Linked DNA regions of Saccharomyces cerevisiae S288C. Changing the gene in region 3 together with the main gene of any one other region gives a genetic interaction. Each region holds a gene or a part of one and is shown on either strand. Other genes may lie near its edges. The genes, in order: INM2, LOT5 and FLC2.

Region 1 (10,419 bases), on a different chromosome or scaffold from region 3:
GGATCTGACTTGGTAACCAAAATTGCAAAGCAAGCCATCAAATATTCTCGTGATCAAAACTTCGATATAGTGTTAATGGATACTGCCGGGAGAAGGCATAATGATCCTACTTTAATGTCGCCATTGAAGTCTTTCGCTGACCAAGCCAAGCCAGATAAAATCATTATGGTTGGAGAGGCTTTAGTAGGTACTGATTCTGTCCAGCAAGCCAAAAATTTTAATGATGCCTTCGGAAAGGGAAGAAATCTTGACTTCTTTATTATCTCCAAGTGTGACACAGTTGGTGAAATGCTGGGTACTATGGTAAATATGGTTTATGCTACGGGGATTCCTATCTTATTCGTTGGCGTGGGACAAACCTATACCGATTTGAGGACATTAAGCGTAAAATGGGCTGTTAATACATTAATGTCTTAAAAACTGTAATATCATAGTATATATATATATACCACAGACAATGTTATTCAACAATAATAAAGTGTCTTTTTTTCTGTGCATCAACAAGGTGACAGAATGTTGATGTAACTTCTTTCCACCAAGTGAATCTACAAGTAGTAGAATAGAGTATTTATATTCGGTTTACAAACTACAAATAGCGTGCTCATATCTCTTTTTTAATGATTTCATTTGTATGAGTATCGTCTTTCGTAGCTCTTCTAACGTCAATAATCTTAAAATCATCTGAAAAGTTGACATGCTCTGACACAGGAATAACAGTCTCTACTTTTATCTCTGGCATATTTGGCTCTGGACCATCTTTGATAAGATCTATAAAACTATCTTCCGAGTGACCTAGAATACAATGCAAAACGACTTGGGCGCCAGGTTTCGACAGGACCAGGCTGTTTTCCTTACAAAAAGAAGCCGCTACACAGTCAGGACATCCATCGCTGCATGGGCATTCTTCTATTCTTCTTAAACTAGACTCTATAATATCATCAATATGCTCAAACGCTTTAACACACAAGCCAGACCCGTACTTACCGCCCTTGGAATCATAGAATATTAATCTAGCTGGTCGCTTTCGTTTAGTTTGACGTTCTGCAAATTCCTTTTCCGGAGCTTTGCATTCAGTTTGTATTTCATCCACACCCGCCACTATAAATCGCGGTAACATACCCATAATTGCATGTTGCGCCCCGTGAATAGCTCCTGCTACATTTAATTGCTTCTTTTGGCAAATTTCTAAGGCATATTTTGGCATATCTATCCATAATCCTTTAGAATTGATTATTACAGGAGGGTTATGGGTTTCGATGGCATCGATGATCCTCTTGTACTTGTCTACTTTAAAAAAGCCAAATACAATAATTGTAGTCTTGATCTTACCAAAGTAAACAGGAACATCACTATTCCTTAAAGAGCGTATAAGTTCAATTTCCTGTGGATCTACATCTGTAAAGTCTCTTTGGTTGGTTACCCAGTCAACATCTACTCTTTGCACTTTAGCATATCTTTCATCAGGATTAAACTCCTTCACAAGGTAGGGATAGCCTTGGTGAATGAATATACCGCCATCATATAAAGTAAAACTAGTCCTGGATGCTTCTATTTCCTCAATTATTATATTTCTTCCATTTGTTATATCCACTACGGCAAATTGATCTTCTTCTCCGCCTCTCAAAGATACACACTTGGACGGCCATGGTAAAAATCTATTACTGGCGTGGTACCCATCTTGATTGTGATGTAAGCGTTCAACACAGATTTTGCGAAGATGAGATTCAGTAAAGTATTGCTTGTCACGTTCAAAATTTATTGGCAGTTCGAAAGCAGCGCATTGTATGTGTCCTTCCAGTATCAAAATGTTATTGAAATCAAGAACCAAATCTTGATAAGATTCGAAATTATTAACCTCCAGCAAGGATTCTGGATGAGCAACATAATGTTGATCAACAGGCGAGTCACTTGCAACCACGAGGGTTAAAGAATCATTATTTCTTCTTCCAGCTCTACCACTTTGTTGATGAAAATTCGCCATTGATAGTGGGAAACCGCACATCAAGACTGCGTCTAGTCCACCGATATCAATACCAAGTTCTAGAGCATTGGTAGATATGACAGCCTTTAAATTTCCGTGAAACATCTCACGTTCTATTTTACGTCTGTCGGAAGCAGAATAACCACCCCTGTAAGACATGACTTCTGTAACCAGATCCTCACGCCCAGTTTCAATAAAAATATTGCGAACTTCTTTCATCAACAATTCACAAACACGACGAACGTAGCAAAATGCTATGGTTCTTACGTTGTTCAATATCAATTGTACCAATATCTTTGCACTCTCTCTAATGAAATTTTCTCGTTTACGTTCGTGTTGAGGTAAAATTGGAGGATTCCACACCACTAGATGCTTAGCACCTGTAGGTGAGCCATCCTCGTGTATTAGCGTAACCTCATTAATTCCAAACATGTCCTTCATATGTTGTACTGGAGACTTTAAAGTTGCAGAACATGAAATAAATTGTAAACCACTATTTTCGTAAAAACAGTGGCACAGTCTTAGTAAACGTCTCATCACTAATGCCACGTGCGATCCAAATAAACCCTTATATATATGCAATTCATCGACCACCACTAACTTTAGATGGTACAAAAAATGTCTCCAATTTGCATGATTAGGTAAAATGCTGGTATGTATCATGTCAGGATTGGTAAAAATAACTCTAGCATTTTTACGAATATAAGCTCTTTCCTCTGGCTCCGTATCGCCGTCATACGTATCAACCACGGCATTCTTTAGCTCGGGGATCTTTGAAAGTATTACCTTGAATGCTCTTTTTTGATCTTGTGCCAGGGCCTTTGTTGGAAATATATACATAAACGTTGATTCAGGATCCTTTAAAAGAAGATCGATAGCTGCTAGTTGGTAAATAAGGGATTTACCTGAAGAGGTCGATGTTGTAATAATGACGTTTTCGCCTTGATGAAGACTGTTTATCGCATCTGCTTGATGGCTGTAGAAATTTTCGTGTTCCATACCCTGATATACTTCCGGTGCAAGCTCAAAACAGAGACCTTTATACTTCGCTGTTCTTGATGGTATTGTAAAACAATGCTTTATCTGAGAAGCGTAGAATTCAGTACTTTTTAATTTCTCAATCATTTGAGGAATTGTTGTTATCACTGAATTATTGGAATAATTGGGAATGCTCATCTCATTACTTTCTTGCTTCGCCTTCATCATTGCCTCAATAGGATCCTCATAATCTCTCTCCCTTGGAATATATTTCTGCGCTAGATTTGTTAACTCAGAAAATGGGTCAAGGTTAGCCTTTTCCTTTTCCAGGATAAATTCCCGTAGTCTGGATTTAAAGAGAGCTTCCCTTTTAGAAATCATCTTTTTCATTTCCTCCGTAGTATATGTTGGTATCTTTATTTGAGAAAATCTATCACTTGCAGACCATGAGCGTTGCATTGTACCGTCTATAAATTCAAATATAAGTAACTGAGTAGATTTTTGAGTCTGATTTTGGTCATCAACGTCCTTCAGTTCAAATATGTCATTTTCCTTCTGCTGAAAGCCGCCATTATTGAAGTCAAAAATCTTAGTTTCAGTATAAATTTGGTTCTCATCAATATACTTGAAAACACATTCTCTTGGCATTAGCGCCATAACCATGGCTAGGTCTTCTTTCGTCACAGTTCTTTTCAAAGCAGTTTCTATAGGTCCACAAAGTGTTTTAAATGTAGGCACAACATGCTTTCTGCAAATCAAAAAGGTGTAAAGAGTATTAAGGCGGAAAAAAAATTGTTCAAAATTTCTAAAGGCATCGGTCTTTCCACTCCCTTGACCTGCTGACTTCAGTTTCTTTTTGATAGGTCCTTCCTCCATTTTTCCTTCTCAAATGAACATTTCTTTTCTACGACCTTAACCATCTCAATATGTATAACGGTTCTGTTTTATAACGAAAAATGAAAAAGTTATTTTTTTCCTTTAAAAATATATAAACTTGAAAAGCCAACATAATAATATAAGTACAAGCGAAGAAGGTTTTAACGAAGAGGTAGAAAATTTGAAGAAAGCAATAATCCAAGATTAAAATAGACGGTATGCCTTTCTCTTCTGAGCAATTCACAACCAAATTAAATACGTTGGAAGATTCCCAAGAATCTATTTCCAGTGCCTCAAAGTGGTTGCTTCTACAGTATAGAGATGCTCCCAAAGTGGCAGAAATGTGGAAAGAATACATGTTAAGGCCTAGTGTAAACACAAGAAGGAAGTTATTGGGTCTTTACTTAATGAATCATGTTGTTCAACAGGCTAAAGGTCAAAAAATTATTCAATTTCAAGATTCCTTTGGAAAGGTGGCAGCAGAAGTATTGGGAAGAATTAATCAAGAGTTTCCGAGGGACCTAAAAAAGAAGTTGTCAAGAGTTGTGAATATACTAAAAGAAAGAAATATATTTTCCAAGCAGGTAGTCAATGACATAGAAAGAAGTCTTAAAACCGAGAGCTCACCAGTGGAAGCGTTGGTGTTACCCCAGAAATTGAAAGATTTTGCTAAGGACTATGAAAAATTAGTGAAAATGCACCATAATGTTTGCGCGATGAAAATGAGATTTGACAAATCATCAGATGAATTGGATCCATCCAGCTCAGTTTACGAGGAAAATTTTAAAACAATAAGTAAGATTGGGAACATGGCTAAAGATATAATAAATGAATCAATTCTAAAAAGAGAAAGCGGTATCCATAAACTGCAAAGCACACTGGACGATGAAAAAAGGCATCTAGATGAGGAACAGAATATGTTAAGTGAAATAGAATTCGTTTTATCTGCTAAAGACCCATCCAGATTAAATAAAAACGTTGATGAAGACAATATTATTCCTACGTATGAAGTGGGGGATGGAGATGACGATGACGATGATGGTGATAATGATGATGATGATGATGATGATGATGATGACAAAAATTACGATGATAGATCCAATGACAGCAATTATGGCGTTACTAATATTAGCACCACAGATAAGAAGAATGAAGTTGTAGAAAAGACAGATAGCGAACATAAAAACTCTACTCATAATCCTAGTGACAATCAATTTGGTATGAAACGAACACATGATATGATAGGTCATGATGACGCTAATGACATACCGGAAAAAAAGGTTCATCTTGATTCGAAGACGAGTGAAGATGGTACTTTCAACAGTGAGGATGGACATTATGAGTTAGATATAGAAGGCCACGTCGGCGCCCAAACCGACGAAGGTGTTGAGAATTCCGGAGGGGTTTCTTCTAGTATACAAGACTTGTTAAGTAAGCTTGCAAATTAATATGATGGTTGAGTAAAAAGAAAACAAGGAGATAACTTATACAAATATATAGTAACCCGTTTAAGTCCAGTCTTTTTTCGTAACTATTTGCCCATAGTTTATTTCGTATTCATCTTCACTATTTCCTCGACAAAAAAGATGCGCACCTAAACTACATGGACACCTATGCAATGCTATATAGAATATGAATCGCCAATGCTTTTTATTATATCATCGTGCAAACTTTTAGTCTGCTCCTTTTCAAGGCCCATGATTTCTTGCACCAATTTTTCAAGAGACTCTAGTCCAAGCTCAGCCTGAGTTCTTCTACCTATCCTGTATGATATCACTTCCCCGTCGGTATCGGATTTCTCCTCCAATCTGACTATATATTCGCGCTTTTCTAAACTTTTTATCAAATCTTCAATAGTAATGTTCAGTATAGCAATCTTTGAACCATCGCTTGGAATGCCAAATGTCTCTAGAAATTTGATCAATTCCTGATGTAATATGTTATTCTTAGAGAAGAAAACAATGCATAAAATGACGCTCAAAACACCCTTGTAAACAAGATCTCGATCTGTACTCAACTTGCTTTCTAAGGTATTGGAAGTTCCTGAAGCTATATCGTCACCAATATACTCTCCGGTAACTATTAGCTCTTCATAAGTGTGAGCGCTTTGTAAAATCTTGAAATCGTCAAAATTTTTTGAGTGCGGGACATTGTTTAGCAAGATAAATTTCTGGGCTCTATGTCCCAGTGGCTCAGGCATTGATTTATTTGTATTGCTATTGCTTCCATTACCGCCAGCGTTCATATTATTTTTTGACGGCAATCCTTGTAATTCAAACCCATATACGTTATACAGTATAGCATTTATGTCCATAAACATTTTACTAAAAGACGGTTTTGCTATGTTTTCCTCGCGAGCAGCTTCATGTATAACAGATTGTAACTTGTTTCTTGTTATGATCGAATTTTGAGATTCTCCTCTCGATAAAATATACCTAACCATTTTTCTAGCTACAGGATTCTCTTTAACGATCTTGGCCACGGCTAAATCTTCTGTTAAATCCACATCGCTGTCATTATCTATAGAACTCATGCTAATGAGAAGCTTATGTTTATCGAACAACCTTCCCTTGTAGCATACTGATATAGGACCCCTTCAATCGAAGTTGATAATAAGCGCATTACTCTTCATTGAAATTTTTCTTCACGTATATCGCGCTGTTAAAGGAGAGGGCCGCATGCATGTAATACTTGCTATTCTTGAGTCAGAAGCCCACACTAAGTGACCTGTGAAATCAAGTTGCTGCTTCAAGATATCGTCCTGTACTGGAAAAAAATACTAGTAGGAATTGCGTGAAGTACTATATAAACTTTTCTTAGATGTAGCTTATTTAACGACACCTGAGGGGGGCATTTAGTATTCTAACTCACCCGCAACGTGAGGCCAAAACGATTCTGCAAATCGCTTCTGCTCCATCGACTCACATCCACCTCTAATAGCCAAGTAACATCTTCTGTCTAATGGAATGTTCCATTCTCCACAATTTCCGCCAACCATTATTCCTCCTGCTTCCTCAAGAATACACCAACCGGCACAAACATCCCAAGCCCAGCAGCCACCTTCCCAATAAGCATCAAGCATGCCGCTCGCTACGTAGCATATGTTCATGGCAGCACTTCCTGCACTTCTGAACCCGTGAACAAAGGCGCCGGACTCACTTAGTAAGTTTTTATAAGTATTCATTTTCTTATCAAAGTTTCCTTGGGAACCTTCAGTTCTTTCCGAACCTCCTTCTAAAGCAATTAAGGATTTTTGCAAAATCAATGGCCTTTTTGAAACCTTTATCTCCTGATCATTTAAGAAAGCTCCATTGCCTTTGGAAGCATGGAATAGTTGGTTTAAGTGAGGATTGAAAACCACACCAACAACCGGCTTCCCCATTTCAGCTAAACCTAGAGATGTACAACTATAGGGGTAACCGTGAATAAAATTAGTAGTACCATCGATGGGATCAACAATAAATGTAGGGCCGTTAGTTATTTTCGTGACACCTTTTACATAAGTTTCTTCTCCGATAAATTTGAAACTGGGATACTTGGCCGTTAAATTTTCCTTGATTATAGATTCAATTTGTTTGTCTAAAGCAGTTACCAAATCTACGCCATTTGCTTTATCATCATATGAACAAAAGTTTGTTCCTGCGTGCGATTTTACGAGAGGTCCTATTTTACTCCTAAGTAATTCAATAAATGTGTTCTCCACTTCCTCTAGTACTTGCCTCGTTAATACCATCGCTTCAATCTAAGTTTACTTTACAAGGGCTTGTGGAGCTTCAACTTCACTTATTCTCTATATTGTTTTCACGATTTTTTCTCCCCACGATTTCATATGTAATGAAGCAGGGTGCTTCACGGCGTTATCACTCGGAACACTGACGTTCTTTATTAAGAATTACCGTTTTAAGGGAAATAATAAGAGGTCACTTAATATGACTGTGAGAATCCATTTTTGTAGTTTTTTAGTTACTGGCTTTGGAATGTCAATATAACTGTGATTGACTTCCCTTTTTTTCGCTTTATGGGTCTATGATGTGCGCAAGTTGTTACCTTTCCGTAGAGAGTTCGGAGTTGATGCATTGTAAAGTTTCGTTTAATTCATAACAGAAATTCGTAATTATTCAGTAAGACATAAAACTTAAGGAACATATCACCATGTTGAGAGCGTTCCGCTGTTCTATACATACTTCGAGGGTATTGTTACATGATGCTGGAGTGAAATTAACTTTCTTCTCAAAGCCTAATTGTGGGTTATGCGATCAAGCAAAGGAAGTGATAGATGATGTATTTGAAAGAAAGGAATTTCATAATAAAGCAGTTTCACTAGAGATAGTCAACATAACTGACCGAAGAAACGCAAAATGGTGGAAGGAATATTGCTTCGACATACCAGTACTTCATATTGAGAAAGTTGGTGATCCTAAGTCGTGCACCAAGATCCTGCACTTTCTTGAAGAAGACGATATCAGTGATAAAATAAGGAGAATGCAATCTAGATGACCTCTTTTGTTTTTACTAGAGTTACAACACTGTAAATATTTATAAGCTATGAATAAGTATATACCTCAAAAAACTATATCTACGCTAATTTTACTATGCATACTTCTTACGCAGGGAACAAAATGAAATGTATTCGCACAAAACGATTTCAAATTTTCCATTATCCTCTATTTCCTTCTCCTTTTCTTGCTTATTTTTAATGACTGGTCTTCGTCTTCTACTAGTAGTAATTTTTTTCTTGAAGAAATTGGAGGTTTCATGCAATTTGAACCCTTCTTGATTTTTCCTCTCACTGGTTTAATTTGGATTGGGGAAGGGTTGGTTAACTCTAGGTCGTCATTTGATGATGAAGAAAGATCGAACTCATCGTTAAATTTGGATGTTTCTTTGGATGAATTAATTCTTGACTTACTTATATGATCCACCTTAGGACACTTTTTCATAGGAGAGTGAATGGCAGCAGAGTTATTAGGAAATAAGTTGGACGTCGTAGCATTTTTTTTGGGTGAATCTGATGGTTTAGTAAAATTTTGTGTACCTTTTTTACTAGGCTCGTTCCGTTTATGGTTTTTTATCTCTTCTAGCTCTTTAATCTTCTGTTCTAATTCCCTCTTTTGCGATTGCACCTTTTGCTGTAAATTTTTGGTGACTTCTTCCAAACTTTCGAGGTTATCTTGAAGTTCTAACTTTTCAGCTGTTATATCTTGCTTCTCCGATTTCAGAACTATCACTTGCTGTTTTAGGGTTTTTACATCGCTTAGTGATTCTTCAACACCAGTTTCCTTTTTTTCTAAACAATTTTTTAAGTGCCTATTCTGCTCTTCAAGCTCCAATTCATGAGCCTTCAGTTGTACTACTTCGACGTTTAGCTTTTGTAGCTGCTCATTGTTCTTTTGGAAAGCCTCCAGTTTGGTTGTATGATCCTTCTGTTCATTTTCTTTGATTTCTACTAGCTGTTGAATTCTTTGCTTCAGAGTGTCGTTTTCGGAAACTAAAGCCTTCACAATTTCATTCTGAGAAGATATTTTATTTTCGTAATTTGATTTTGTTGTGATGTTCAAATTGTTGAGTTTTTCTAGTTGATCCTGGACTTTTTTCAGTTCATTAGAAAGGTTTTCATTTTTTTCAGTTAAACTTTGTTCTTTGCCAGAAATTTGTGAAATTTCGATATTCTTCGCCTCCAACTTTTTGACCAAATCTTCATATTGTGCTTCTTTAGTACCAAGAGAGCTAATAATCTGATTTTTTTGTGAAGACAAAGTTGACCTTTCACTCTCCAAATGTTTTATCCTTTCTTCATACTCATTCGACTGAACTATTTCTGCCTTATATGCCTTCACCAAGTTTTCCAAACTCGCGTAATTTTTGGCTGTTTGAGACGCATCATCAAGAAGCTCTTGCCTTGTGTTATTCATTTCACTTACCAAAGCAGTTTGAATATTCCCTGATGACGTTAATAGTTCTTCTTGTACTCCCATTATAAGTCCTTTTTGCGTTACACTCAGCTCATTTATTGTTTTTGCCATTTCATCCTTACTGGATGACATTTTTTGTTCAAGATTTTCTTTGATATCTTCATATTGCTGCTTTAGCATGGTCTCTGTATTACTACTCAACTCTACAGTGGTGTTCCTCAAGCCTACGTTAAGGGTATCTTTTGCCACATCGAAGTGCTTTTGTAATTTTTTTTCAAACAAATCATGAACTCTTTCTTCGAATTTGTTAAATTGCAGTAAATGGTGTGCTTTATCTTCTGAAAAGAAATTCTCAATTGATTTAATCATTTCTTCTCTATTTTTTCCCATTTCCTGTATTAAGGAACTGTTTTTGATTTTTTCTTCGCTCAACTGACCTGAACAATCATCTAGTTCTCTTTTCAGGTATTCAATCTCTTTACCTTTTTTCATTAATTCTGCATCCGCCTCCTTTTTGTTCTTCCCTAAATCATTTATTGTTTTGTTCAAGTTTTCAATACTTGTCTTAAATCCGCTTATCCTTCTCTGATATAGTTGGTGGTTTTGTCTTAAATCTTTCAATTTAGTTTCTTGATTATTCTTATGGCTCGTCAACGTTGCAATCCTTTCTTG
Region 2 (10,194 bases), on a different chromosome or scaffold from region 3:
GATATTACACCATTAAAATCATTTCTAAATATGCGGTCGTCGATGATCAGCTGCAGGGAAATGCCAAAATATGGACCCCATAGAGGTCTTGGCTTGTTCATATCGTTGGGTCGATTTCTGTTCCCAGTGTTATTTGGTTGAATGGGAACAGTCGCGTCTTGCCCCATCTTGTCTCTGCCGCTTTCGTCGAATCTGACTTTGCAATTGACGTTGCATATCAACGTGCCGGATCCCGGAATAGCGTGATAGTCTACTCCTGTTAGGGCATGTTGTGTTTGTACGACCTGGTTTTGCCACATTTGCAGAAAAACTGTTGCTTGCGCGAAGGGGGTAGCATTAAATATTATTCTGCAGTTGTTTGGATTAAAAAGCTGTACGAATTGGGCCAATTTGTTGGAGTCCGGATCATCCAAATGCGCTAATATCTTCTTCGTAAATGTGGCCGTTATTTGTGCTTGATTTGCGTCATTCATTACCATAGTATTACTATTGGTGTTCATATTTCTGTTATTACTGTTATTAGTTTGGCGTTTTGCCTGACGATCAGCCTGGTGGGGCCAAGTATATACTATAAAAACAGGTTAGTTACTTGCTCTATGCGTTTGCGCATCCTCTTTTTACTTTTTTTTTTTCAGTAAAGCCTAAGCATAAATCGTTTTATACGTACGACACGTTCAACTTTTCTTGGTTAGTAGTGGCAATCTCTGCAATACATACAGGGAGTCATGGTCTATCATCTTGTCCAATCAAAGAAGCATCGGTTCAGATCGAGCAAACTGTAGGGAGAAAGGAAAGTAGAAATGCAGAGTGTGCTATATGTCCAATCTCGGTTTTGTAGTTTGGATGTCATTAGAGATCTACCACCCAACCGGCTGCTTTCATGTGGAACAGAAAAGAAATCGGGGCGCTTCCTCTTCTGTATTCCTTTAATTAACGTTTTTATTCAGCCATCTAACCATCATACCCCCATACGGTAACAAAACCTCTTCTAAGAAAAGAAGTCTCTGCTCCTCCGCCATCTTATTTTTATTCGCTGCGCGCGTTTATTGTCGCATCGCTAGCCAGCAAAAAGTTGGTTGCCTTTTTTTACCTAAAAAAGACACATCTAACTGATTAGTTTTCCGTTTTAGGATATTGACGCCAAGCGTGCGTCTGATTTCTACGATATGTCTCTAATTTTGGAAGGGCCATTTTATTTTTGAGGATTGGGCTGATCATTTTCCTTACGTGGATTGAGCCAGCAATACAGATCATTATTAAACTGTTTTGTACATGATGTTAGTATATAATCGTAAAGCTTTTCTAATATGTATACCTTATACATGGAACTCCACAGAACTTGCAAACATACCAAAAATCCTTTATTCTTGTTCACTCATTTTACATCAAAAAATAATATTTCAGTTATTAAGGAAAATAAAAAAATAGATTAGAGAAGCATTTTGAAGAAATAGTATATTCTTTTATTGAACCTAAGAGCGTGATATTTTTACTCGAAATAAAATACGAAAAATCTATACACTCATCTTTCCGACTACTATTGGCTCCTGCTCAAAAAAAGAGGGAAAAAAAGCTCCAAAATTCTATCTTTTCCTATCGCTCCTGTCCTATCCTTATTACGTTCATTACTATTTTAATACTATCCATTCTTTTATTTTCAGTCTAAAAAAAACATTTCTCATAACGGGAAAAGCAAAAAAATGTCAAGCTTATACATCAAAACACCACTGCATGCATTATCTGCTGGTCCGGATTCTCATGCAAATAGCTCCTATTATGACAATCTTTTATTGCCTTCATTTTCCAATTTATCCAGTAATATCAGCAGGAACAATATCACAACCGATAACAATATAAATTCAGCAAGTCCTAGGAAGTATTCGTTTCATTCGCTCAATGTGTCGCCAATTCTTTCCCCAATATCTTTGGCTAACGAAATACTTGGAAAAAAATCAAATACTGCACCAGCATCGCCACATCATATGGATTACAATCCAATTTCCTCATTAACACCAGGCAATTCACCAGAATTCAACAAGGCAAGCTTATCTCAGATTAGTTTTACAAATCCATTGAACTATGGGTCTGGCTTAGGTTTTTCCTCTAATTCACAACCTCGACTACCATTGTTAGACAGGCTATCGTCCGTCTCTTTATCTAAGAGACCGGAGCGCCCACAACAAAGCCTACCATCACTAAGGCATCTGCAATTATTACCCAGTCCTCTTTTACAAGAAAACGCAGCACGCTTCCCTGATACATCAAAACGTACATCTAATTGGAAAACTGATCTTACCCATTGGTGTAAGGATACAAACTATCAAGACTATGTTAAAATACGCGAAGAAGTGGCTCATTTCAAGCCATTAAGTATACCCAACTTAACTAATAATCAAAATAATGATAGTTTCAATTACGGCAAGGAATTGGAATCGACTAGGTCGTCCAAGTTCCATTCCCCGTCTAAGGAATCATTTGATCGTACCAAACTAATTCCTTCGATTCTAGAAGCTAAAGATCAATTTAAAGATCTTTCCAACAATGCATGGAGTATTACTCCTCCCGTCACACCGCCGATGAGTCCACCAACCAATAGAACCATGGAGCGCACGACGCTTAGAGGAGTAGAGGCCTCTTTTTTTGAGGGGAAATCCAGCAATAACGATTCAATATTCAATCCAATTATTAGTGAAAAATTGGTTCAAGAAGTTAAACATCAAAGACAATTACGTGGAAATTCATTTCCCATGCCAAATGCCAGTCACAAAAAGACGAACAGTTTCAAAGCTTTGCAAATAAAAAAATTGCTTGCGAATAGAGACATTCTATCGAACAATTCCAAATCTAATGTAAGGAAACCATCTAAGAACAAAATCTCAAAGCAAGCATCAAATGTTTTCGGTAACACTGCAAGACAATTGGTGATGAAACTCGACAACGCTAGTTACAGTTCTGTCTCTGCATCTTCATCTCCATCTCCCTCCACACCGACGAAAAGTGGCAAGATGAGATCAAGATCATCCTCACCTGTGCGTCCCAAGGCATACACTCCAAGCCCAAGGTCACCCAATTATCATAGATTTGCTCTCGACTCTCCCCCTCAAAGCCCTCGAAGATCATCAAATTCAAGCATAACGAAAAAGGGAAGTAGAAGGTCCAGTGGCTCATCACCCACTCGTCACACCACAAGAGTGTGCGTGTCGTGTCATTCGAGTGATTCGCCCTGTTGGAGGCCATCGTGGTCGCCAAGAAAGCAAGATCAGCTATGTAACTCTTGTGGTCTTCGATATAAAAAAACACATACAAGATGTTTGAACGATTTATGTCGTAAGATCCCCACAAAGGGTGAAATAAACATTATGAAATCCAATGGAATAGACAAAGAATTCGTCCCCGAACGCAACTGCGAAATTGAAGGGTACCGTTGCTTATTTTGTAATTACATAACTGAGACAGTAGAGAATTGATACATGGATAACTGAATCTCTTTCAACTAATAAGAGACATTATCACGAAACAATTGTACATTTCTCTCCTTGTCTGTGCTAAATAAACTACAAATAAAAATTCATTTTCTTTCATTTTCATTCGACACGCCGCGGCATCTTCGTTTTCTTCACCGATTAATTTTAATCTGCGCCGTGCAGATATTTTCGCCCATTTCGAAGTGAAATCATTCTAATAACTTCTCCTGCGCAATAGATTGGTCATCCTGATTTTTATTCTGAAATCGAAAATGAAAAGCATTTATTGCACTGAAATAGCGGAACCTGCTTCTAATAAGCTTAAAATTCAATCATAATAGTGTAGTTAATAGAAAGGACAGAAGAACTTTTCGTTCCTTGGTTTATCATCCAGGTTTCAGCACGGCTTTTGTTTCAAGTTTAAGTAGGTAAGATTTTTTGATTGTTCTACAACTTTTTCATAGTAATCAAAACCTTTGAATTTCAAACTTACTATGTCTAGTACTCAAGTAGGAAATGCTCTATCTAGTTCCACTACTACTTTAGTGGACTTGTCTAATTCTACGGTTACCCAAAAGAAGCAATATTATAAAGATGGCGAGACGCTGCACAATCTTTTGCTTGAACTAAAGAATAACCAAGATTTGGAACTTTTACCGCATGAACAAGCGCATCCTAAAATATTTCAAGCGCTCAAGGCTCGTATTGGTAGAATTAATAATGAAACGTGCGACCCCGGTGAGGAGAACTCGTTTTTCATATGCGATTTGGGAGAAGTCAAGAGATTATTCAACAACTGGGTGAAGGAGCTTCCTAGAATTAAGCCATTTTATGCCGTCAAATGTAATCCTGATACCAAGGTTTTGTCATTATTAGCAGAGTTGGGCGTTAATTTCGATTGCGCTTCCAAAGTGGAAATTGACAGAGTATTATCGATGAACATCTCGCCGGATAGAATTGTTTACGCTAATCCTTGTAAAGTAGCATCTTTCATTAGATATGCAGCTTCAAAAAATGTAATGAAGTCTACTTTTGACAATGTAGAAGAATTGCATAAAATCAAAAAGTTTCATCCTGAGTCTCAGTTGTTATTAAGAATCGCTACCGATGACTCTACCGCTCAATGTCGACTTTCCACCAAATATGGCTGTGAAATGGAAAACGTAGACGTTTTATTAAAGGCTATAAAGGAACTAGGTTTAAACCTGGCTGGTGTTTCTTTCCACGTCGGTTCAGGCGCTTCTGATTTTACAAGCTTATACAAAGCCGTTAGAGATGCAAGAACGGTATTTGACAAAGCTGCTAACGAATACGGGTTGCCCCCTTTGAAGATTTTGGATGTAGGTGGTGGATTTCAATTTGAATCCTTCAAAGAATCAACTGCTGTTTTGCGTCTAGCGCTAGAGGAATTTTTCCCTGTAGGTTGTGGTGTTGATATAATTGCAGAGCCTGGCAGATACTTTGTAGCTACAGCGTTCACTTTGGCATCTCATGTGATTGCGAAGAGAAAACTGTCTGAGAATGAAGCAATGATTTACACTAACGATGGTGTATACGGGAACATGAATTGTATTTTATTCGATCATCAAGAGCCCCATCCAAGAACCCTTTATCATAATTTGGAATTTCATTACGACGATTTTGAATCCACTACTGCGGTCCTCGACTCTATCAACAAAACAAGATCTGAGTATCCATATAAAGTTTCCATCTGGGGACCCACATGTGATGGTTTGGATTGTATTGCCAAAGAGTATTACATGAAGCATGATGTTATAGTCGGTGATTGGTTTTATTTTCCTGCCCTGGGTGCCTACACATCATCGGCGGCTACTCAATTCAACGGCTTTGAGCAGACTGCGGATATAGTATACATAGACTCTGAACTCGATTGAAGGATATATTTAACCACGACTTTCGCAAGAGAGACGGAGGGGGTGGGAAAAGGCTGAATGCAACCATTGTCACTAAGAATTTGAGTGTTCATGAACGAGTTATACACGCTATTTAAGAGTCAGAGAATGATGATTCAAGAAAATTCTGGCATTTTTCCTGTCCACCACTGTACGCCATTGTACACAAAAGTATTTTTTTATATTTTTTTTACAATTTTTTATAATTTTTTTTTATGTTTAGTGTATATTTGCTAGAAAGAAACAAGATCTTTTTTGGTAGTGTAAATGCTTAAACTTTGTCTCTTTTTCCTTTTTACTTTGGAAAAATGCCGACGCAAGAACATAGACATCTGCGAAAACCAAAAATAAAGTACCAATTGTACATACAAAAACAGAGAAAAAGTTCATGAACAGAACGTTACTACGGTATAGCAAGATCTTTGAATACATCCATTACTTCGGATTGTTCACCATACTTCAACACAGGCCAAGATAGACCATAGCTACAGTGATAGACGAATATTTATTTCAAAAGAAGCATCAACCATAAAATAAAAAGAAAAATGATGAAAAAAAAACCAAAGTGCCAAATTGCAAGGACCAAACCATCGGTCGAAAACGTCATACCATATAACCAATTCAAGAAGACGCAGCCGCGATTCAACGGCAACTTTTCTGCACTGAATAATGAAGAATACATAATACTCTTTGGCGGAGGTCGGGACCTGATACTAGGCTCCCTGACACCTTGTTCGAGCTCTCATTTGTCCAATCAAGCCAACCCACAAGACACCAGTGAGTATGGCACAGACCTGTTTATACTCAACAGCTGCATTATCATTTGGTTCAATGGCTTGGGATATGGGCTGGAAATTCCCTACAGCAGCGTTTTGTACCATGCATCAAGACGGCTACCAGATGGTAGGGAAGGGCTTCAATTAGAAATTTTGCTGACTTTGGAAAGAGACGAAGTGTTGGACATGCTCTACCAAAGCCTCGCGCCACAGGCCTGCGAATTCGACGGCGAAGAAGCACATGCCTTCACCGTGCGCAGCGTGGAATTGACTATCAGGCCCAAATATTCAATATACGATCGCCATTATAACAACGAAATCGAAACCCTTTTCACCTTCGAAAACTTCGGCGTGAACAGGGGCGATGACCTGGTAAACAATTGTAACGAAGCACTAGCCGTATGCATGGACCTGCACGGTGAGGACGTACAAGATCAAGACCAGGAACAATACCAAGATCCAAGCATGGCGTTTGAGGGTGCGCAAGATCTCAACGCCACGTATTCTGGGCTTGGAGACACCCTTCACGGGCCGCCCGTGTATCAGAACGACGGGCTGGCAGACGATCTGGATGGCGACCTCGTTATGGACAACGTGGTCTCTAGGGGTGGTCCAGAAGCAAGTATGTCTATGGAGTTCTACGCAAATCAAAATCTTGCTGGCAGAAAGAACTCCAGAGACAATGAATGAACAACATCTATTATGGGAACATCCCGCTGTACTATGCGGTCTCGTCCTCTACGAATATGGCTATTTGCCTTCGTATATACCTTTCTATACCAAGTAATGAATGTCTTGAGGGCCCGTATGGCCGCGCGAAGGCTTAGTTAAGATGTTTCAGCAAACGGCAGCATGTGAAAAAACCCGTAGAAGGTCCGCATCAGCCTTCCATGCCCGTGCACCCACGGCTCCTCGGAGGCCGGGTTATAGCAGCGTCTGCTCCGCATCACGATACACGAGGTGCAGGCACGGTTCACTACTCCCCTGGCCTCCAACAAACGACGGCCAAAAACTTCACATGCCGCCCAGCCAAGCATAATTACGCAACAGCGATCTTTCCGTCGCACAAGTTAAAAGAAATTGTTGAAAAATACAAATAATCGCGAACAATACGTTGTTGCTATTTAACGCTTTTGGTCTGACAGTAAGTGTGCCTTTCCCAATCACCGAAAAGTGTTGAACGATTCACTGCGACAATAATCAGAGATTACAGTCGGCATTTTGGCATTTTTGGCATACTTTTTATCGATTGAACCATCTTCTCCAAACACTTTTCCTTTTTCCTTCTATTCTGCAGGACCAACTAAAACTGGGTATATATATCATTATCTATATATATAAACGGCTTTCAACAAAGTTATAGGGGAAAACTAAAAATATAAGAAAAAAAAAGGTATTGATTGATAAGGAAAAAGAACCAAGGGAAAAATATAAAAAAGTACATTGGGCCTTTTCATACTTGTTATCACTTACATTACAAAGAAGAACAAACAACTTTTTTAAACGAATTTTCTTTCTTCCTTTTTCAATTTATTAATTCTTTTTTTCCATACAATTCAAGGTCAAATATATTCTTATATGCTCTTTGAATATTTCTGAAAAATATATAAAGAAAAGAAACTACAAGAACATCATCCGGAAAATCAGATTATAGACTAGGATTCCGCTCTTTTTAGTATATTTATTCGCCACACCTAACTGCTCTATTATTCGCTCATTATGGACGCTTACTCCACAAGACCATTAACCCTATCTCACGGTTCTTTAGAGCACGTGCTTCTGGTACCAACCGCTTCATTTTTCATTGCTTCGCAATTACAAGAACAATTTAATAAAATTTTGCCCGAACCCACTGAAGGGTTTGCTGCAGATGACGAGCCTACCACACCTGCTGAACTAGTGGGGAAATTCCTTGGCTACGTATCTTCTCTAGTCGAACCTTCCAAGGTCGGTCAATTCGATCAGGTCTTGAACCTTTGCTTAACAGAATTTGAAAACTGTTATTTAGAAGGCAATGACATTCACGCCTTGGCTGCTAAACTATTACAGGAAAACGACACAACTTTAGTGAAGACTAAAGAACTAATTAAAAATTATATTACCGCCAGAATAATGGCTAAGAGACCATTTGACAAAAAATCCAACTCTGCTCTTTTTAGGGCCGTCGGCGAGGGTAACGCACAATTGGTAGCCATTTTCGGTGGTCAAGGTAACACCGACGACTACTTTGAAGAATTGCGTGATCTATATCAAACTTATCATGTCTTAGTGGGAGATTTAATCAAGTTCTCCGCTGAAACTTTAAGTGAACTGATTAGAACTACTTTAGATGCTGAAAAAGTCTTTACTCAAGGTTTAAACATATTGGAATGGTTGGAGAACCCTTCAAATACCCCAGACAAGGACTATTTACTTTCCATTCCAATTTCATGCCCCTTAATTGGTGTCATTCAATTGGCTCACTACGTAGTTACTGCCAAGCTTTTGGGTTTCACTCCAGGTGAGTTAAGATCTTACTTAAAAGGTGCTACAGGTCACTCTCAAGGTTTGGTTACTGCTGTCGCCATAGCTGAGACGGATTCCTGGGAATCCTTCTTCGTCTCCGTAAGAAAAGCAATTACTGTATTATTCTTCATCGGTGTTCGTTGTTACGAAGCATACCCAAACACTTCCCTACCACCATCCATCTTGGAAGATTCCTTGGAAAACAATGAAGGTGTTCCATCTCCAATGTTGTCCATTTCCAATCTAACTCAAGAACAAGTTCAAGACTATGTAAATAAGACTAACTCTCATTTGCCAGCTGGTAAACAAGTTGAAATTTCTCTAGTCAATGGTGCGAAGAATCTAGTCGTATCGGGCCCACCACAATCATTATATGGTTTAAACTTGACTTTAAGAAAGGCCAAGGCCCCATCTGGACTGGATCAATCAAGAATCCCATTCAGCGAAAGAAAATTGAAGTTCTCCAATAGGTTCTTACCTGTTGCATCACCATTCCATTCCCATCTATTGGTTCCAGCTTCAGATTTGATTAACAAAGACTTAGTCAAAAACAATGTCAGCTTTAACGCTAAAGATATTCAAATCCCCGTTTACGACACTTTTGATGGTTCAGATCTAAGAGTCCTTTCAGGTTCCATTTCCGAGAGAATCGTCGACTGCATCATTAGATTACCTGTCAAATGGGAAACTACTACACAATTCAAAGCCACCCACATATTAGACTTTGGTCCAGGTGGAGCTTCCGGTTTAGGTGTTTTAACCCATCGTAATAAAGATGGTACTGGTGTTCGTGTTATCGTTGCCGGTACTCTCGACATTAACCCAGATGATGATTACGGATTCAAGCAAGAAATCTTTGATGTTACTAGTAATGGTTTGAAGAAAAATCCAAACTGGTTGGAAGAATACCATCCAAAATTAATTAAGAACAAATCAGGCAAAATTTTTGTCGAAACAAAATTTTCTAAATTAATCGGTAGACCACCTTTATTGGTTCCTGGTATGACACCATGTACTGTTTCTCCAGATTTCGTAGCTGCTACCACAAATGCTGGTTATACCATTGAGTTGGCCGGTGGTGGTTACTTTTCCGCAGCAGGTATGACCGCCGCTATTGATTCTGTGGTTTCTCAGATAGAAAAGGGTAGTACCTTCGGTATCAACTTGATCTACGTCAATCCATTTATGTTACAATGGGGTATTCCATTAATCAAGGAACTAAGAAGCAAAGGTTATCCAATTCAATTCTTGACCATTGGTGCTGGTGTCCCATCATTGGAAGTTGCTAGTGAATACATAGAGACATTAGGTTTGAAGTACTTGGGTTTGAAACCAGGTTCCATTGATGCTATTTCGCAAGTTATAAACATTGCTAAAGCACATCCAAACTTCCCAATAGCTTTACAATGGACCGGTGGTAGAGGTGGTGGTCATCATTCTTTCGAAGATGCCCACACTCCAATGTTACAAATGTACTCCAAGATTAGAAGACATCCAAACATTATGTTGATATTCGGTTCTGGTTTCGGTTCTGCT
Region 3 (9,180 bases):
CCTGGTTTCAAAGACATTCTCCTGAAGTCACCAAGAAAATTGTTGATGGATTCATGAAGTTGTTAAAACTTGAATATGACCCAAAGTTTATTGGCGTTGTGGGTTACTGTTTTGGTGCAAAGTTTGCCGTCCAACACATTAGTGGCGACGGGGGTCTTGCCAATGCTGCAGCCATTGCACATCCATCTTTCGTCAGCATCGAGGAAATTGAAGCAATTGATAGCAAGAAACCAATATTGATTTCAGCAGCGGAAGAGGATCACATCTTTCCGGCAAACTTAAGACACTTAACGGAGGAAAAATTAAAGGATAATCACGCTACTTACCAGTTAGACCTCTTCAGTGGTGTGGCTCACGGGTTTGCAGCAAGAGGCGATATATCCATACCTGCCGTAAAATATGCGAAGGAGAAAGTCTTGCTCGACCAAATATACTGGTTCAATCATTTTTCGAATGTTTAAGAGGGAAGAGCTCTTCTTACGTTAACCGTTATATACATATATATATATATTGAGCACTTTATATTATCGGTCAGTTTCATAAATTCGTGGCTATATAATATTAATTAATTGATGAAATGAATAGGTAGGAGTTTGGAAAGAAAATTTTTAAGCAAAGTCATTGCCAAACAAAAAGTCATAATCAAATAAATCCAAACCTCCAAAATAACCTGGAAAAGGAGTATTATTCGCTTGGCCTCTATCGAAACCATTAGGAAGTTGTGATCCAGATGAGTTATCGACAATTGGTGTAGCATTGATTGAATTGTTCAAGTTATTCATCCCGGCTATTGGCGTTTGCTCTTTTGAACCACCACCCGCCAAAGGACCCTGACGTAAACCACTGTTGTAGTCCAAGCTCTGACCAACTGCAGCGGCCGATGATAGTTTTTCTAAATTATCTAAGGATGAACTCCATGTCTTTGTGAAGGTAGGAACAGCATTTCCGAATGGTTCGCCGTTGGTTAAGTCAATTGTGTTTACAGGCGGCTTCAATCCTGAAGAAATTTGAATCTCTTTTTTGATATTACGGTTCAGCTCATCTATATCTTCAACGCTAAAATTCGCAACGTGATTGCATGCCATCAATTCCTCTAATAGCCTATCCTTTTTGTCCAGTTTGACTCCTAAGGTAATGCTTAATGTCTTGATTATCCTAGAATGCATTTGTTCCATTTGAATCATCGTAAATATGCCGTGCCATAATTCACCCTTTCTCATCCTTTGTACAATGACATCGAATAAAGCCAACATCTTAAAAACGGGGAAGTATGTGAATCTTAAATGTTCCGAAGCAGAGCAATATATACCTTCTAAAGCAGACTCGAGATCTCTTTGCAGGGTACTAAATTTTTCGACTTTGGTATTTAACTCCTTTATTCTTGGATCTGTCGTTCCCGATAACTTTTGTACTTCAGAAGATAACATATGGATGGCTAAACCTATTCTTAGTATAATCCCTAATAGGCTGAAGATTGTGCTGGATAGTGCTAACTGAATAAATTTTGTAACATTAAAACTGGTTAAAGAAGATATTGCGTGTCGATATTCTCCGTTGAAAAACTTATTGAAATAATTTATTAGTGACAACGCATCCATACAGCTAACCATAAAGTATTTCTTGTAGAATGGGAAGATACTTTTATCCTTAGTGATAAGTGTTTCAAAATGCAAGAATACGGCCATTGAAGTTCTCAACATCAATAGTTTATTCATTATTCGATTGTGAAATGAAGAAGAATTTTCTGAAGATAATATATTCATTTCTGAAATCACATTCATGTCATCAAGGTCTGACTTATCCTGTGCGACACTTTTTAATGGTACTATGGGAAAGTTTTCCTCCACAAAAATCTCAATCTTTTCTCTTATGAATTCAATTGAATGCAAATGGAAACTACCATAGTATGTCATCGTCAAGTTATCTAAGTCCGACAGGAGTAACGCAAGCTGGGCTCTCTTGAATGTAAATTTATGAATTCTCAAAAGTTTGTGATTATTGATATCGCTTAGATCGCCCCTAACTCGGTTCATATATACCGTCAGAGAATCAGGATCCTTAATATTTAGGAATAAGGCCATTAAAGATATCGGTGAGACAGAATGTCTACCTTTGAGACTTGCTTCAAACGAACAAACGGTAACGATACTCAACCAGAGTATTCTTCTGTGATTCAAGGTTCTTTTATCTGAGGTGGACGGGGAAATCAATTGAGGGAAATCTGAAGGATCTCTGTGGAGACCAATCGAGGTGGAAAGCATCATTATCAAACTACTGATAACATCGGTGGGGTGCTCGAGAAAGAAATCACCCTCTTCAGGAGAAAAAGCAAAAAAAGACCAGATATATAGTAAACATGATATGATGTTTTCATTAGCGCATGCACACCAATTTTCCGATGCTAGACATCTTTGACTCAATAAAATAAAATCGTTCGGTATTGGGTATTTATCAATTATTTCCTTTGAAAGATAAAAACTCGAGTCTGCTGTACTATGATCTAAAAACCTTATTGACATGTATGAGAGTTTCAAGATAACCAATAGAAGACTCAAGTTTTCCACCTTAGCTCTCAAATGTGTGCTACCCATACGTATTTGCACCTTGGAGGGGTTGTTTGGGTCCGGAAAAATTGTTTGACTTAATGATTCTTCAAAAATTTCTAATTCGATGAAAGGTAGACTTGGATAAACGTACTCATAAAAGTGGTTCTTGTAGCGTTCAATAATTTCGTAAGATGGCAAAATAGCTTCACATTCATTGATCAAATTTCTCAATAAATCCGAATATTCGCCACCTTGAGGGCAATGATCCTCCAGATATTGGTAACCGACAGAATTGTAAAGCATTGATAATAGCATACCGATTTTCAAGTTTCTATTTGAATTTGTATTTTGTAGTATTCTATCAGTGAATTCGTTTACACGATTTTTTTCATCTTCGGTTTGACACTGTCTGATTAGCATTTCCTTCAATTTCAAAAGGTTATTTGCTACGCTAGGCTGGGCTCTTGTAATATTCGCGTTTGCCGTCAATGCCGGTATCATCGTGTTCTTTGAAGTGTCAAGGAACACTGAAGTGACCAGGATTTTTAGAAAACAGTCCTGAATTATAATATAATTTTCAGATAACGGCTTAACTTCTCTTTTCATGACTTTACTCATGATCATGGTTGGATGACTTCTATACAAGTTGATTTCAATATCATTTCTGGTACCATTGTTTATATCCCCGTTACCACTTTGTTCATATATAGGTTCCATTTTATGCTGCTTCTTGGTATCAGGACTGTCCCCGCTAGCATTGTTTGTATTGATCGGACTTGCTGATCTCTTGCCTGATTCATTCACCTCTCTCTCTGTTAGTAGCTTCATAGCTTTATCTTTCCAATAAAACATATCTTTTTCCAACCTTGATATAATGGCGTCTTTACTCGGAATTCGTGGTGCTGGCTGTTTTGATACGTCATAAACACATTTTAACCCATGCTTGACGCATCGACCACATTCAGGTTTTTCTCTATCACACTTTGTTTTTGACTTCCTACAAGCCTGGCAGACAAACAATATTCTATTTCTTTTCCTATTATGTGTTTCGGAGTTCTCGGGGGCAGGCGATGTGCTTGAGTGCTCAGCTTCTAATCCAGGCGTTGGGTTATTGAACCCTAAGAAAAACGCCTCCGAATATGGCTTGGTAGAGCTATTATCATCATTTCCGGCATGTGGGGCCTTCTGCGTACTATTTTCGACCATGACTTACGCAACCTAATCTATTATTAACCTGCTTCTAACACAAAATAGCCAACAGTAAATCCCTTCTGGAGGATCTGTTTCCTTCTCTACACGTCAAAAAAGATGTCAGAAAAAAGCGGCAATTGCGTACATTTAAGGAAGCAGAGCCAAAGCGAATTTCACATTTAAGGTTTTTATCGCTGAAATATGTGTGGTGTTGGGATGTAATGGAGATAATACACCTTTTTGAGCGGTTTTCTATGAAATATAATGTAGGATATCCTTGCCCTTAAATATTTATATAATAAGTTGTTACATGTGAGTATATATTGGATTACAAATATGGGTTGTTGTTGCGGGCGTTTTCGTTGCTGCCGTTGTTGTTAAAATGCGAATATGATTTATTGGAATTCCCCAGGTAGAGACTTGATTCAGGCTTCATTAAACTGGAGGTGCTTGTATTATTCGGCGCTAGATTAGTACGAGAAGCAGATGACGCACGTTGGTACTGTGGAGACAAGAAGCTGCCACCCGTACCCATGACAGCGGAGGTTGGTTGCACAGGTTGCTCCGTTACTTCCGAGGCATCGAAGGGAGAGGAATTTTGCTTAAAAGAGGATGAACTAGTCTCATCATCAAAGAGTCTTGCTGTATTTGTGTTTGCATTCAGGTTCTTGCCGAAAGTGTCGTCACGGAACATTTTTTCTTCCTCATTTTCATTGGTGTCCATAACAGCTTTTCTCAATTCAAACAGTTCAGAATCATTTTTGTTTTTGCCATCGAAATCATTTTGAATCTTAGGAATGAATGACACACGGTCATCTTTCATTGGTTGGTAACGGACATCTGGGTTTCTGTGTAGTAATGCCAGTGTACAGGTGACAATAGTGAACAATAATAGGAATAGAGCAAACACCGCGTTCAAAACGAACAGAATAACCGCCATCACTGACGAAACCACTGCTGGTTGCTTGAACAAATTACTGAAAAACAAAAAGAAAAATGCATTGATCAAATTCACCAAATGAATAGCAATATTGAAAACATTAGTTCTCTTGTCCAAATATGGTCTTATCCAACAGAGACAAACGAAGTAAGCTAGTTCAATGACAAAGATGATCATTGCTTGAGCCTTACCTTGGTTTTGTAAAACGGCAACAAACAGGGATCTTAAGAACGCATAACTTAATAAGGGTAAAAGCCACCAAAACTTATCTGCTTTGAATTGAACGTATAAGAACCCAAACTTGTTCAAGAAGTAGGTATCACTGTAAAGTAGGTACGCAGGATTCTTGTATAATCTGAGAGACTCTCTTCCCTTGATGAAAACCCTTATAGTTCCATAAACCAGAAGTCCCGTGATGATCAGTAATATTACTACCGCATCAACAACAATCGCTGGAGAGTTGACCTGAGTAAATTCCCAAATCGCCAGAAGAGAAACTTGAGGGAAGGCGATGATAGATAATCTGAAAAGGGTGCCTTTGATAATACTCCCCCAGTTCTTCCTATATTGGAAGAAATTGGAAGTCTCTTTCAATATTCTTGCTCTTGTAAGAACTTCCAATAGCGCCTTAAAGAAAATCAAAGAGACGACAACTACAAATAGGAAGAATAGAAAAAACACAATACCGGTCAAAAAGAAATTAGATAGCTCAATATTAGCCAAATAAGCAACTCTTTCTATACCTCTTAACACGAGAATCTTGGCTGAGTAATTGCTTGGATCCTTCTCAGAAGTGGTGTACAGATTCGAATCGTCTAAAATGGTGTCAAAATTGTAATCACTAGACGATGCCATAGAGATAGCACGTTTTTGCACACTAATGGACAAGACGTCCTTGTTAGCTACCACAACATTTGAGACACCATTAGTGGCCTGTACGTACCAATCAAAAATCTTTTGCATGAAGTTTGTATTGATGATACCCATGGACCATTGGAAATTCTGCGTCCACGCGGCAGCAATGGGTGGAACCCTTGAGACACCCATCATTGCAGTGATAGCTAGATTTTGGAAGTATATGAACAATGAGATGGAGTTGGACGCAATGTGAGCAGCAGTGGCTGAGTAACCGATCACAGACACAAACCCTGAGGTAAGTACACCGACACCTGAGATAGCGGCAATGGGCCAGGCCGCATACTTTGTTTGCACTGTCTTCCCGTTACTCAAGATAGCCTGGACACAAGCCAGCGGAGTTTCGAATTCCGTGTCATTCTGAGCGTATGCCACCACACGTACTTGTGCGTCCAAATCTGGAATGGTGTAAGCAATGCCGGGAAATTGCTTGGTAATGGATGATTCGATCACCTGTGTGGACATGACATCAATACGCCCAGCACTTAGGGGGCAAAGCGATACTTGGCCCAAGGAACATAAATCAAAAGTCTTATCCAGGACTTTCAGTCCGTAAGTAAGCAGCTCAGCCTTCACAGTGACGTTCCCATTAAGCGTCGTCGTAGCGTCAATATCAAAGATAACAGTATTATTATCGGGGTAAAATTTCACATCAAAGAATGATGCCGTTAATTGCGAATTGTCCATACACGTCAATAAAGAAGTGGTCTGCAAATGCTTTGCAGACGCCGGAGTAGTGTCGTTTGTGTCAGAGGAACGTGCTGTACCGCTGCACAGTACGAAACACGTTAAAAGGCACCTTGCGAAGGTGTTTAGGAAGATCATGGCTATATAATCTTTTTATCACGTCAATATAATCGTAATGAAACAGAAATGAATGTATTATAATACACTGAAACACGGTATAGCGCAGCAAATTGTTTTAGTTTAAGGGGTATAAATGTTTTCCAAGGGTGGTGTTCTATATATATATGCCATTCATATACTTTTAATAATGTTCTATACGTATTCCCGTGAAGGCATTAATGATTATCTTTTTCTTTAAAAATGCAAGATGGCTGAGTAGTCGCGCGAAAAAAAAAAAAAAAAGAAACAGCAAGGTTAATTTTAGAATACCAACAGGAAAAAAGAAAAGATTATCCTCCCAGAAAAACAATCTGTTTATTACCCGACATTCTTAAAAAAACAAAAGCAAATCACATGTGCACATACGTCCAGAATGATATCAAGATAAATGGCACGTGTATGTACGGCTGTGTAAATATGATAATCATCTCGGACGAACGGCGTAGCACTCTCCATCCCCTAAAAATGTTCACGTGTGACTGCTCCATTTCGCCGGATGTCGAGATGACCCCCCCCCCTCAAAAGGCACTCACCTGTTGACATGCCGTGGCAAATGATTGGGGTCATCCTTTTTTTCTGTTATCTCTAAGATCCAAAGAAAAGTAAAAAAAAAAGGTTGGGGTACGAATTGCCGCCGAGCCTCCGATGCCATTATTCAATGGGTATTGCAGTTGGGGTACAGTTCCTCGGTGGCAAATAGTTCTCCCTTCATTTTGTATATAAACTGGGCGGCTATTCTAAGCATATTTCTCCCTTAGGTTATCTGGTAGTACGTTATATCTTGTTCTTATATTTTCTATCTATAAGCAAAACCAAACATATCAAAACTACTAGAAAGACATTGCCCACTGTGCTATGTCGCCCTCTGCCGTACAATCATCAAAACTAGAAGAACAGTCAAGTGAAATTGACAAGTTGAAAGCAAAAATGTCCCAGTCTGCCGCCACTGCGCAGCAGAAGAAGGAACATGAGTATGAACATTTGACTTCGGTCAAGATCGTGCCACAACGGCCCATCTCAGATAGACTGCAGCCCGCAATTGCTACCCACTATTCTCCACACTTGGACGGGTTGCAGGACTATCAGCGCTTGCACAAGGAGTCTATTGAAGACCCTGCTAAGTTCTTCGGTTCTAAAGCTACCCAATTTTTAAACTGGTCTAAGCCATTCGATAAGGTGTTCATCCCAGACCCTAAAACGGGCAGGCCCTCCTTCCAGAACAATGCATGGTTCCTCAACGGCCAATTAAACGCCTGTTACAACTGTGTTGACAGACATGCCTTGAAGACTCCTAACAAGAAAGCCATTATTTTCGAAGGTGACGAGCCTGGCCAAGGCTATTCCATTACCTACAAGGAACTACTTGAAGAAGTTTGTCAAGTGGCACAAGTGCTGACTTACTCTATGGGCGTTCGCAAGGGCGATACTGTTGCCGTGTACATGCCTATGGTCCCAGAAGCAATCATAACCTTGTTGGCCATTTCCCGTATCGGTGCCATTCACTCCGTAGTCTTTGCCGGGTTTTCTTCCAACTCCTTGAGAGATCGTATCAACGATGGGGACTCTAAAGTTGTCATCACTACAGATGAATCCAACAGAGGTGGTAAAGTCATTGAGACTAAAAGAATTGTTGATGACGCGCTAAGAGAGACCCCAGGCGTGAGACACGTCTTGGTTTATAGAAAGACCAACAATCCATCTGTTGCTTTCCATGCCCCCAGAGATTTGGATTGGGCAACAGAAAAGAAGAAATACAAGACCTACTATCCATGCACACCCGTTGATTCTGAGGATCCATTATTCTTGTTGTATACGTCTGGTTCTACTGGTGCCCCCAAGGGTGTTCAACATTCTACCGCAGGTTACTTGCTGGGAGCTTTGTTGACCATGCGCTACACTTTTGACACTCACCAAGAAGACGTTTTCTTCACAGCTGGAGACATTGGCTGGATTACAGGCCACACTTATGTGGTTTATGGTCCCTTACTATATGGTTGTGCCACTTTGGTCTTTGAAGGGACTCCTGCGTACCCAAATTACTCCCGTTATTGGGATATTATTGATGAACACAAAGTCACCCAATTTTATGTTGCGCCAACTGCTTTGCGTTTGTTGAAAAGAGCTGGTGATTCCTACATCGAAAATCATTCCTTAAAATCTTTGCGTTGCTTGGGTTCGGTCGGTGAGCCAATTGCTGCTGAAGTTTGGGAGTGGTACTCTGAAAAAATAGGTAAAAATGAAATCCCCATTGTAGACACCTACTGGCAAACAGAATCTGGTTCGCATCTGGTCACCCCGCTGGCTGGTGGTGTTACACCAATGAAACCGGGTTCTGCCTCATTCCCCTTCTTCGGTATTGATGCAGTTGTTCTTGACCCTAACACTGGTGAAGAACTTAACACCAGCCACGCAGAGGGTGTCCTTGCCGTCAAAGCTGCATGGCCATCATTTGCAAGAACTATTTGGAAAAATCATGATAGGTATCTAGACACTTATTTGAACCCTTACCCTGGCTACTATTTCACTGGTGATGGTGCTGCAAAGGATAAGGATGGTTATATCTGGATTTTGGGTCGTGTAGACGATGTGGTGAACGTCTCTGGTCACCGTCTGTCTACCGCTGAAATTGAGGCTGCTATTATCGAAGATCCAATTGTGGCCGAGTGTGCTGTTGTCGGATTCAACGATGACTTGACTGGTCAAGCAGTTGCTGCATTTGTGGTGTTGAAAAACAAATCTAGT

What was found.
Region 1: mutations in FLC2 (region 3) and INM2 together harm fitness less than expected from each alone (positive genetic interaction), as found in Saccharomyces cerevisiae (one large-scale study listed by BioGRID).
Region 2: mutations in FLC2 (region 3) and LOT5 together harm fitness more than expected from each alone (negative genetic interaction), as found in Saccharomyces cerevisiae (one large-scale study listed by BioGRID).

Annotation. Positions count from the first base shown.
Region 1 is NC_001136.10:1,033,144-1,043,562, reverse strand, and holds INM2 (inositol monophosphate 1-phosphatase INM2), read right to left. Parts: upstream 7,569-10,419; coding exon 6,690-7,568; downstream 1-6,689. Other genes in the region: SRP101 (signal recognition particle receptor subunit alpha), read left to right, coding at 1-417; HRQ1 (ATP-dependent 3'-5' DNA helicase), read right to left, coding at 602-3,835; RTT103 (Rtt103p), read left to right, coding at 4,054-5,283; Smc5-Smc6 complex subunit NSE3, read right to left, coding at 5,457-6,368; MGP12 (Mgp12p), read left to right, coding at 7,988-8,332; ZIP1 (Zip1p), read right to left, coding at 8,500-10,419. UniProt on the Saccharomyces cerevisiae protein: Responsible for the provision of inositol required for synthesis of phosphatidylinositol and polyphosphoinositides and involved in the inositol cycle of calcium signaling.
Region 2 is NC_001143.9:92,799-102,992, forward strand, and holds LOT5 (Lot5p), read left to right. Parts: upstream 1-5,922; coding exon 5,923-6,843; downstream 6,844-10,194. Other genes in the region: MTR2 (Mtr2p), read right to left, coding at 1-500; DNA-binding transcription repressor ASH1, read left to right, coding at 1,701-3,467; ornithine decarboxylase SPE1, read left to right, coding at 3,959-5,359; YKL183C-A (uncharacterized protein), read right to left, coding at 5,597-5,809; tetrafunctional fatty acid synthase subunit FAS1, read left to right, coding at 7,873-10,194.
Region 3 is NC_001133.9:43,136-52,315, reverse strand, and holds FLC2 (flavin adenine dinucleotide transporter FLC2), read right to left. Parts: upstream 6,418-9,180; coding exon 4,066-6,417; downstream 1-4,065. Other genes in the region: protein AIM2, read left to right, coding at 1-461; oleate-activated transcription factor OAF1, read right to left, coding at 609-3,752; ACS1 (acetate--CoA ligase 1), read left to right, coding at 7,294-9,180. UniProt on the Saccharomyces cerevisiae protein: May be responsible for the transport of FAD into the endoplasmic reticulum lumen, where it is required for oxidative protein folding.